Linked DNA regions of Macaca mulatta. The protein of the gene in region 1 purifies or fractionates together with the protein of each later gene. This does not show direct contact. Links are inferred from orthologs where the notes say so. Each region holds a gene or a part of one and is shown in the gene's direction. Other genes may lie near its edges.

The links. Proteins that work in one complex are often made in the same cells at the same time.
Region 2: the proteins of HAUS5 (region 1) and HAUS2 purify together in Homo sapiens (affinity purification with mass spectrometry; 5 studies listed by BioGRID and IntAct, with this or other methods). This does not show direct contact. The link is inferred for Macaca mulatta from reciprocal best matches to the Homo sapiens genes HAUS5 and HAUS2.

Annotation. Positions count from the first base shown.
Region 1 is NC_133424.1:46,872,875-46,876,887, forward strand, and holds the start of HAUS5 (HAUS augmin-like complex subunit 5), read left to right. Parts: upstream 1-1,197; 5' UTR 1,198-1,278; coding exon 1,279-1,376; intron 1,377-2,233; coding exon 2,234-2,296; exon of another isoform or gene 2,297-2,341; intron 2,342-2,371; coding exon 2,372-2,404; exon of another isoform or gene 2,405-2,420; intron 2,421-2,535; coding exon 2,536-2,560; intron 2,561-3,420; exon of another isoform or gene 3,421-3,470; coding exon 3,471-3,576; intron 3,577-3,655; coding exon 3,656-3,815; intron 3,816-4,013.
Region 2 is NC_133412.1:19,954,401-19,958,504, forward strand, and holds the start of HAUS2 (HAUS augmin-like complex subunit 2), read left to right. Parts: upstream 1-1,302; 5' UTR 1,303-1,337; coding exon 1,338-1,430; exon of another isoform or gene 1,431-1,485; coding exon of another isoform or gene 1,486-1,491; intron 1,492-4,104. Other genes in the region: LRRC57 (leucine-rich repeat-containing protein 57), read right to left, coding at 1-16, 584-722, 829-912.

The DNA of each region.
Region 1 (4,013 bases):
GCCCGTCTTCCTCTGCTCTGGTCTCATACTGATGCCCACAGCGCATTCAGCTCTCTGACGGGGCCCAGCAGGCTCGCCAGAACTCCAGCCCTACTGCTTTCTGGGCATCCCGCAGACCTCTCACACCTGCTGTGTCCCAAACTGACCCACTCCTGCTGCTTATTTTTACCATCCCTACCTGGTGGTGTGTCTGTCTCCCCACTGAACTGTGAGCTCTGTACAATAGGGACCAGGGCTGTCGTGGTCACCATGTTGTCCCCAGCATCACCCAGCACAGAGTCAGCTCCCTGAGTTTATGGAATGGTAAGCACAAATGAATGGGAAAATGCATGCCAGGGAAATGTTAGGGTCATACTATCTGCCCCTACCCTCCACTCAGACATGGGACACCTGTTTCTGAAATCAAAGAGCAGTAAGTCCAGGATCTCATTCCCTGGTTCCAGTCCTCCTAGGCTGCAAGTCCCATTTTGTCAACAAAATAAAGGGGGCGGGCACGGTGGCTCACACCTGTAATCCCAACACTTTGGGAGGCTGAGGCGGGAGGATCGCTTTAGCCCAGGAGTTCAACAGCCCAGAAGCTGAGACTAGCCTGGGCAACATAGTGAGATCCCATCTCTATTAAAATAAAAATGTTATTTTTTTGTTTTTGTTTTTTTGAGACAGAGTCTCGCTCTGCCGCCCAGGCTGGAGTGCAGTGGCCCGATCTCAGCTCACTGCAAGCTCCGCCTCCCGGGTTCACGCCATTCTCCTGCCTCAGCCTCCCGAGTAGCTGGGACTACAGGCGCCCGCCACCTCGCCCGGCTAGTTTTTTGTATTTTTTAGTAGAGACGGGGTTTCACCGGGTTAGCCAGGATGGTCTCGATCTCCTGACCTTGTGATCCGCCCGTCTTGGCCTCCCAAAGTGCTGGGATTACAGGCTTGAGCCACCGAGCCCGGCCTAAAATAAAAATGTTTAATTAAAAGAAGAAGAAGAAAATAAAGGGAAGCATCAAGGACTGTTTTGCCTCTTTCGGGTTAGCTGGTAGTGAGCGAGAGAACGAGGGAAGGCGGGCGGGGCCGCCGTCTCTCCACGCCCTTTTCATTTCCACTCAAGGAGACCCACCTGGGAAGAGTGAGCGCTGCAAGACCCAACCTTACCACGCTAAGGTTACTACGCAGCGCCGGAGCCCGCTGTCTGCCCGGCAACCGATGACGTCCTGTTGGCGCGTCCGTGGCGTCAGAGGCGGGCGCCACACTTGAAGAGGCTGAGGGAGGCGGTGGCGCAGCTGTGGCGCTGTCATGGAGCTAGCGCGGGAAGCGCGGGAACTGAGTTGCTGGGCGGCCGAAGAGATGGGGGTGCCCGTGGCAGCCCGAGCCCGGGAATCGACGCTGCGCAGGTGAGGACCGCTCCTGGAGTGAGGACTCCCCACCCTGGAGATTGAGTCTCCGGGAGTGAGAGCTCCACCCCTCATTGAGGACTCGACCCCCCATTCCCCATCGAAAGTGACCCGAGTTACTGAGGGCTCCCTGCCCTGGGAGGCTTCCCAGAGTGAGGTCCCTAGCACTGGTGAGAATCCTCCACGAGTTAGTGAAGATCCCTCTCCGTATGGAAATAGGATCTCCAGGGTGAGGCTGTCCCCGCAGCACCTCCCCTTCCCACCCTTACCCCAACCAAAAAGGACACTCAGGAGTTAGCCGTGGCCACCCCATCGGGATTGAATCTGTAGGAGTGATGCCCCACATCTGGCCATGAGATGGCACTTCCTGGCAGTACATCCCCCACCTCCACCTCTGAATGTGACTGGATAACCCTCTCCCAGGAGAAAGGGAGCCCTCGCCACTCACCCCCACCCCCACCCCCATCCCCCACCCCCGCCTTCCCGGGGAATGAGAATACCACCATACTTAGTGCAAAGATCCAGTCCCTACAAAAAAAATGTTTTACCAATTAGCCGGGTGTAGTGGTGCCTGCCTGTAGTCCTAGCTGTTCTGGAGGCTGAGGTGAGAGGATCGCATGAGCCCAGAAGGTTAAGGCTGCAGGGAGCTATGATCATACCACTGCACTCCAGCCTGGGCAACAGAGCGAGACTCTGTCCCTAAAAAAAAAAAAAAAAAAAAAAAAAAAAGTTTGGGCCTTCCCTCCCCAAGAAGTGAGAACTCCCTAATAAAGACTCCCTACCACCATCACCTTGGGAATGAGGATCCCACACCCTGTGTGCTGCCCCAGGCATACGCTTACACACTGTCCCCACAGGCTGTGTCTGGGCCAGGGGGCTGACATCTGGGCCTACATCTTGCAGCATGTGCACAGTCAGAGGTAAGTTGGGCTAGAGTAGGGGAGGGGGCACAGGTGAGGTCCGTAGTAACTCCTCCTTTTGCCTCTGCACTGTAGGACTGTCAAGAAGATCCGAGGAAACCTACTCTGGTAACTGCTTCTTAAAGCTATCCCTTCCTATCCCCACTCCCATCTAGCCCTGTCCTCACCACAGCATCACACCTGTTGCCCTCCCCACTGGAAGCCCCACTCATCCACTGACTCTGGTCTCATTTTCCTAGGTATGGCCACCAGGACAGTCCACAGGTAAGAAGCATATGCTGCAAGATTCTCTTTCATCCGAAAAATGATTTGTAGATCTCCTGTTCTAAGCCCAACCAGGTGCTGGGTGATGCTGGGGACAATGGGTCACAAGATAGCCCTGATCCCCATCCTCATAGGGCTTAAAGTCCAGTGGAGATAGCATTAGCTCAGCTGGGAGCAGTGGCTTACACCTGTTATCCCAGCACTTTGGGAGGCTGAAGCGGGCGGATCACCTGAGGTCAGGAGTTCGAGACCAGCCTGTCCAACATGGTGAAGCCCCATCTCTACTAAAAATAAAAAATTAGCCAGGTGTGGTGGTGCACACCTGTAATCCTGTCTACTTGGGAGGCTGAGGCAGGAGAATTGCTTGAACCTGGGAGGCAGAGGTTGCAGTGAGCCGAGATCGCTCCACTGCACTCCAGCCTGGGCAATGCAGTGAGACTCTGTCCAAAAAAAGAAAAAAATATAAAGAGATAGTATTAGCTGGGGGCAGAGAGGTGGGACATGGATATGTGGCATCAAAGCTGCTGAGAAGAGATGGAGGGACAGGTTTGGGAGAGATGCTGAGGCCAGTGTAGGACCTAGTGGGTGTAAGAGGCTCATATGACACCTGAGGGGAGGCTTCCAGGAGTCCTTGGGACTTCTAGGTGCAGGGCTCCAGGAAGAGATCAATACTGGGACAAAGATGTGGTTGTCATCAGCACAGACAGGAAACAGGAAACAGGCTGGAAGTATGGGTAAGACAATCCTAAGAGGAAGGAGGGAGCCAGTACCCTAATGCTTCTGCATCAGACACAGAAACTGCTGAGCAAAAACCCTTTGCCACCAGTTGAGGAGCCTGGTACCCCCAAAAGACAGGCCAGGCTGAACCCCGATCAGACCGTGCATCTCACCCTGAATCTGATCCTCCCAGGTCCGTCGGAAGTTAGAGCTGGAAGCTACCGTGACCCGCCTGCGGGCAGAAATCCAGGAGCTCGACCAGAGCCTGGAGCTGATGGAGCGAGACACTGAGGCTCAGGGTGAGCCATGGGGCCAGAAAATGGGCAACAGAATGTGGGCCGGGAAAGGTGCTGATGGCCACCCTTGTTCCTCCTACAGACACAGCCATGGAGCAGGCACTTCAGCACACTCAAGACACCCAGCGTCGAGCTCTCCTCCTCCGGGCCCAAGCTGGGGCCATGCGAAGACAGCAGCATAGGCTCCGAGATCCCATGCAGCGGCTGCAGAATCAACTGAGGCGCCTGCAGGACATGGAGAGGTGGGCCTCAGGGACCCACCCTCACCAGGCTGGGCAGCCAGACATTCTCTTAGAGACCTCAGGGCTCTGCCCCGATCCCTTCTTGGGTTCCAGAATTCTCAACTCCCACCATTAGGATGGAAGGTCCATGAGGCCAGGAGGTTTTGTCATCTCAGTCACTTATATTTCCAGTGCCTAGAATAACAGCTGTATACCTAG
Region 2 (4,104 bases), on another chromosome or scaffold:
TCATCAGGCAGAACAGCTGGCAAAGAAAATGTTTTTAAAACCTGAATCTGATAGAGCTGAAAACAACTTTGATGAAGTTTCTAAAGACTATATGGCAGCCTGCTTCGCCTCTTGTTAATATATGTAAAATACCCACATGTGCCATTTTTAGGTATTGCATTTTACCAACATAGTCTTTAGAAGGTGAGGGTGCCATCAAAATGCAGGTGAGCATTTGTGTGTATAATGGACTCCTTTTGTAAAGGGGTCCAAGGCACAATTTGACAGCAATTTTGTGATATTTGGAAGATCCTCCCCTTCCCATCCATCCCCCATTCCAAGTTAGGTAGCTTTGTTTACATTACATCCCCAAAATGTTCTTCCCTTTCAAGTCCAAATTAACCCAGTAACAATCATTATAACACCCAAGGAGGCTTATTTTTGATGTAATTACAAGTAGAAAGAAGGCTTCAAGGATTCCGGCATTCTGCAACTTGAGCCCTCCTGCACGGTTTCATAACGAAAACAAAAATCAGCTTGTAAGAGAAAACCACCCCTGGTAACAGCTTATCACTAGCAAAAGCCTCCCAGGCAAGAGTCATACTCAGTTTGTTGTTGTTCAGGGAGAGGCTCTTCAGCAGAGTGAACTTTCCTATCAGCAAAGGCGGTAGGCTCTCGATCTTGTTGTTGGACAAGTCGATGGTCCTGAGATTGCTCGTGAGCTTCTGCAAGTCTGCGGGGAACTGGAGAAAGGAGTTCACAGCGTGGAGAATCCCGCACCGACTAAGTTCGCTGCCCCCGCCGTCCCTCTCCCTTTAAGTTTCCCGGTCGTGTCCCTCCCATTCTCACCTCGGTCAGCCCTCGGTCCTTAAGCTGAAAGACACCAGTTTTCTGCGCCGTTTCCACATGAGCGCGGAGCGCACTGTTTCCCATCCTAGCACCGCGGCTCAGGTCCCTGCGGGAAGGAAGCGCAGCTGTCACCGCCCAGTCCACTCGGTCGGCCTCCCGCCCCAGCTCTCATCTCCCGCCGATCCCTGGCTCCTGGGGCCCGACCCAAGAGTGGCAAGGAAGAGACGGAAGAACAGACAGCCCGACCACCAAGCCCTGCCGCCTTTGCAGCTCTGCGGAGGCCAGGCGCCTCTGGGAGCCTACGGAAGATCAAGGAACCCCGGACTCGCCTCCCACCGCTCAGCTGCCGGATGGCTCCGCAGGTGAAGACCCAGGACCCGCAGTAGCCGGGATGCGCTCCCCGGCTTAGCCCCGGGCGGGACCGCCCTGTGACGTCATCGAGTCGCGCCGTGCGTTCGCCCTGCGTTCCAACTCACTCTTGGCGCCTTCGTGGGAGGTGAGTCCGAGCCATGGCGGCTGCCAACCCCTGGGACCCGGCGTCCGCGCCTAACGGCGCTGGGCTAGTGCTAGGCCACCTCATAGCTTCGGGGATGGTCAATCAGGTGCGTGGGGGCGGCTGTGGCGTCATCAAGGGGGTGCCCACGATGGCAACAGAATATGGCTGTGAGTTGGTGCTGCTGGCTGTGGGAGTGGTGAGGGTCCTGGTTGGGGTCTGTACTATAGTAATAGATCCCCTTCCAGGCAACAGCCGCGACTGTTCTGCCGTGGGTGCTTGGAAAACGGGGATCTGAGTAGATGGTGTTTAGGGTAGACTGTGTTTTGAGTGTCTGTAGGGTAAATTTGTCCCTGGCCCGTTTGTGGGAGATTAGACTGCTGTTACTGGCCTTTTTTTCATCCAGTGATACTGCCTCCAGACTGTAGTGTAAGGCGGGGATAGGAAATACGGATCGTTACGTCCCCTTGCGGAACAAGCATTACCAACAACGCTCGTTTGTGGGAAGTATTGAATCGTATTTGGGGCGGGAGGTACTGGGTAGAGAAGAGCGCTAGAAGCTCTTTTTTCGTGTTTTTATTTTATTTTTATTTATTTATTTTTTGAGACAGTCTCGCTCTGTCGCCCAGGCTGGAGTGCAGTGGCGCGGTCTCTGCTCACTGCAACCTCTGCCTCCCGGGTTCTAGCGATTCTCCTGCCTCAGTCTCTCGAGTAGGTGGGACTACAGGCGCGTAGCGCCACGCCCAGCTAATTTTTTGTTTGTTTGTTTTAATGTTCAGTAGAGACGAGTTTCACCGTGTTAGCCAGGATGGTCTCGATCTCCTGACCTCGTGATCCACCTGCCTCGGCCTCCCAAAGTGCTGGGATTACAGGCTTGAGTCACCGTGCCAGGCCTTGGCATCTTTACAGGCAAAAAAAAAAAAAAAGTACTGGCTAAAAAGATAAGACCTTGGAACGTGAATGGAGGAAGAGGTTAATTTTGAGAAGGAGAGAAAAGAGACATTAACCCAAGGAGTCACAAAGTGGCAGTTTTAGGTTGGGCAAGAAGAGCATGTCGGGGGAAGGAGCCAATAGAGTGAGAAATTGAACATGTGAGGAAATGATGGAATGCAAGTGACAAAAGGGCATGGGGAAAGTGGGATCAAGGGCATTGAGAAAAATGGGGAAAGAAATTTTGATATATAGAGGAAGTTGAGGAATTTCACTAAAAAGAAAACAGAAAAGTTAAACTGATCTGTAAAAATTAGCACTATATTAGCCGGTGTGGTGGCGTGCACCTGTGGTCCCAGCTACTCCCAGGACCACATGGGTCCCAGAGGCTCAGATGGGAAGATGGCTTGAGCTCAGCAGATGGAGGTTGCAGTGAGACGCGATCGGGCCACTCCACTTAGCCTGGGCAACAGAGTGAGACCTTGTCTCAGAAAAAAAAAAAAAAAGCATTACAAACATGATGGAAGATTTATGGAAATATATAACTTTTTATAGTTAGAAGAGCCATTAGAGACTCTAATACCTTAGAGTATTTTTTAATTTAAGAAACTAAGGCTTAGACCAAGAAACTTGCCCATGGTCACTAGACTGTTGAAGGAGAATTAGATCTTAGCACTCTCCCTTTTGACACATTGTGTCCTCTCTCAAGATGAACTGTTATAAGAGGCTGTGATATTGTCTTGAAAGATTTTAAGCTTTTGTTGAACACCCATTGTCTGGGTGATCAGGAGATTCAGGTGGTCCTAGTTAACTACATTTCCCAGGGGTGGCGACAGCCCTCTACAGTTTAATCCTTCCTCCCTTCTCTCCTGTGTTTTCTTTTTCTTTTCTTTTCTTTATTGTTTTTGAGACGGTGTCTCCCTCTGTTGCCCAGGCTGGAGTGCAGTGGTGTGATCTTGGTTCACTGTACCCTCCGCCACCTGGGTTCAAGCAATTCTCGTGCTCCAGAGTAGCTGGGACTACAGGCACCTGCCATCACGCCTACTAATTTTCATATTTTCAGTAGAGATGGGGTTTCACCATTTTGGCCAGGCTAGTCTCAAACTCCTGACCTCAGGTGATCTGCCTGTCTTGGCCTCCCAAAGTATTTGGATTACAGGCATGAGCCAACGAGCCCAGCCTTTTTCTTATCAGGTTACCTAGTACTCTCACTTGTATTGTCCAGTTCTCCTGTCACAAAATAGTTTGGCAAACTCATAATAGAAAACATTTTTGAGGGCTCATGCCTGTAATCCCAAAGCTTTGGGAGGCCAAGGCGGGTTGATCACCTGAGGTCAGGAGTTTGAGATCAGCCTGGCCAACATGGTGAAACCCAGTCTCTACTAAAAATACAAAAATTAGCCAGGTATGGTGGTAGGTGCCTGTAATCCCAGCTACTCAGGAAGCTGAGACATGAGAATCGCTTGAGCCCTGGAGGTGGAGGTTGCAGTGAGCAAAGATCATGCCACTGCACTCCAACCCGAGTGACACAGTAAGACCCTGTCTCAAACAAAAACAAAAAACCCCCCAACTTTTGGTACTTGGTATCCCTCTAAAGAGCATTGGTAGGAAATACAAATGCCTAAACCAAAGGAGTGAGGCACTGGTGAGAGAATTCTAGGCATTGATGGGTGATCTCTTTTTTGGGGGTGGTGGTTGTCTTGGTGGTGTCTACTGTCTCTCAAGTAACATTAATTGACAGTTACTGGTTTTACCTACAGTTAACATGTCCCACTCTATAGCTCCTTAAGACCTCTGACAACCTTACTACACAGCTAGTCCCAATGAGGGAGCTATTTACAGACTTGTAGGTT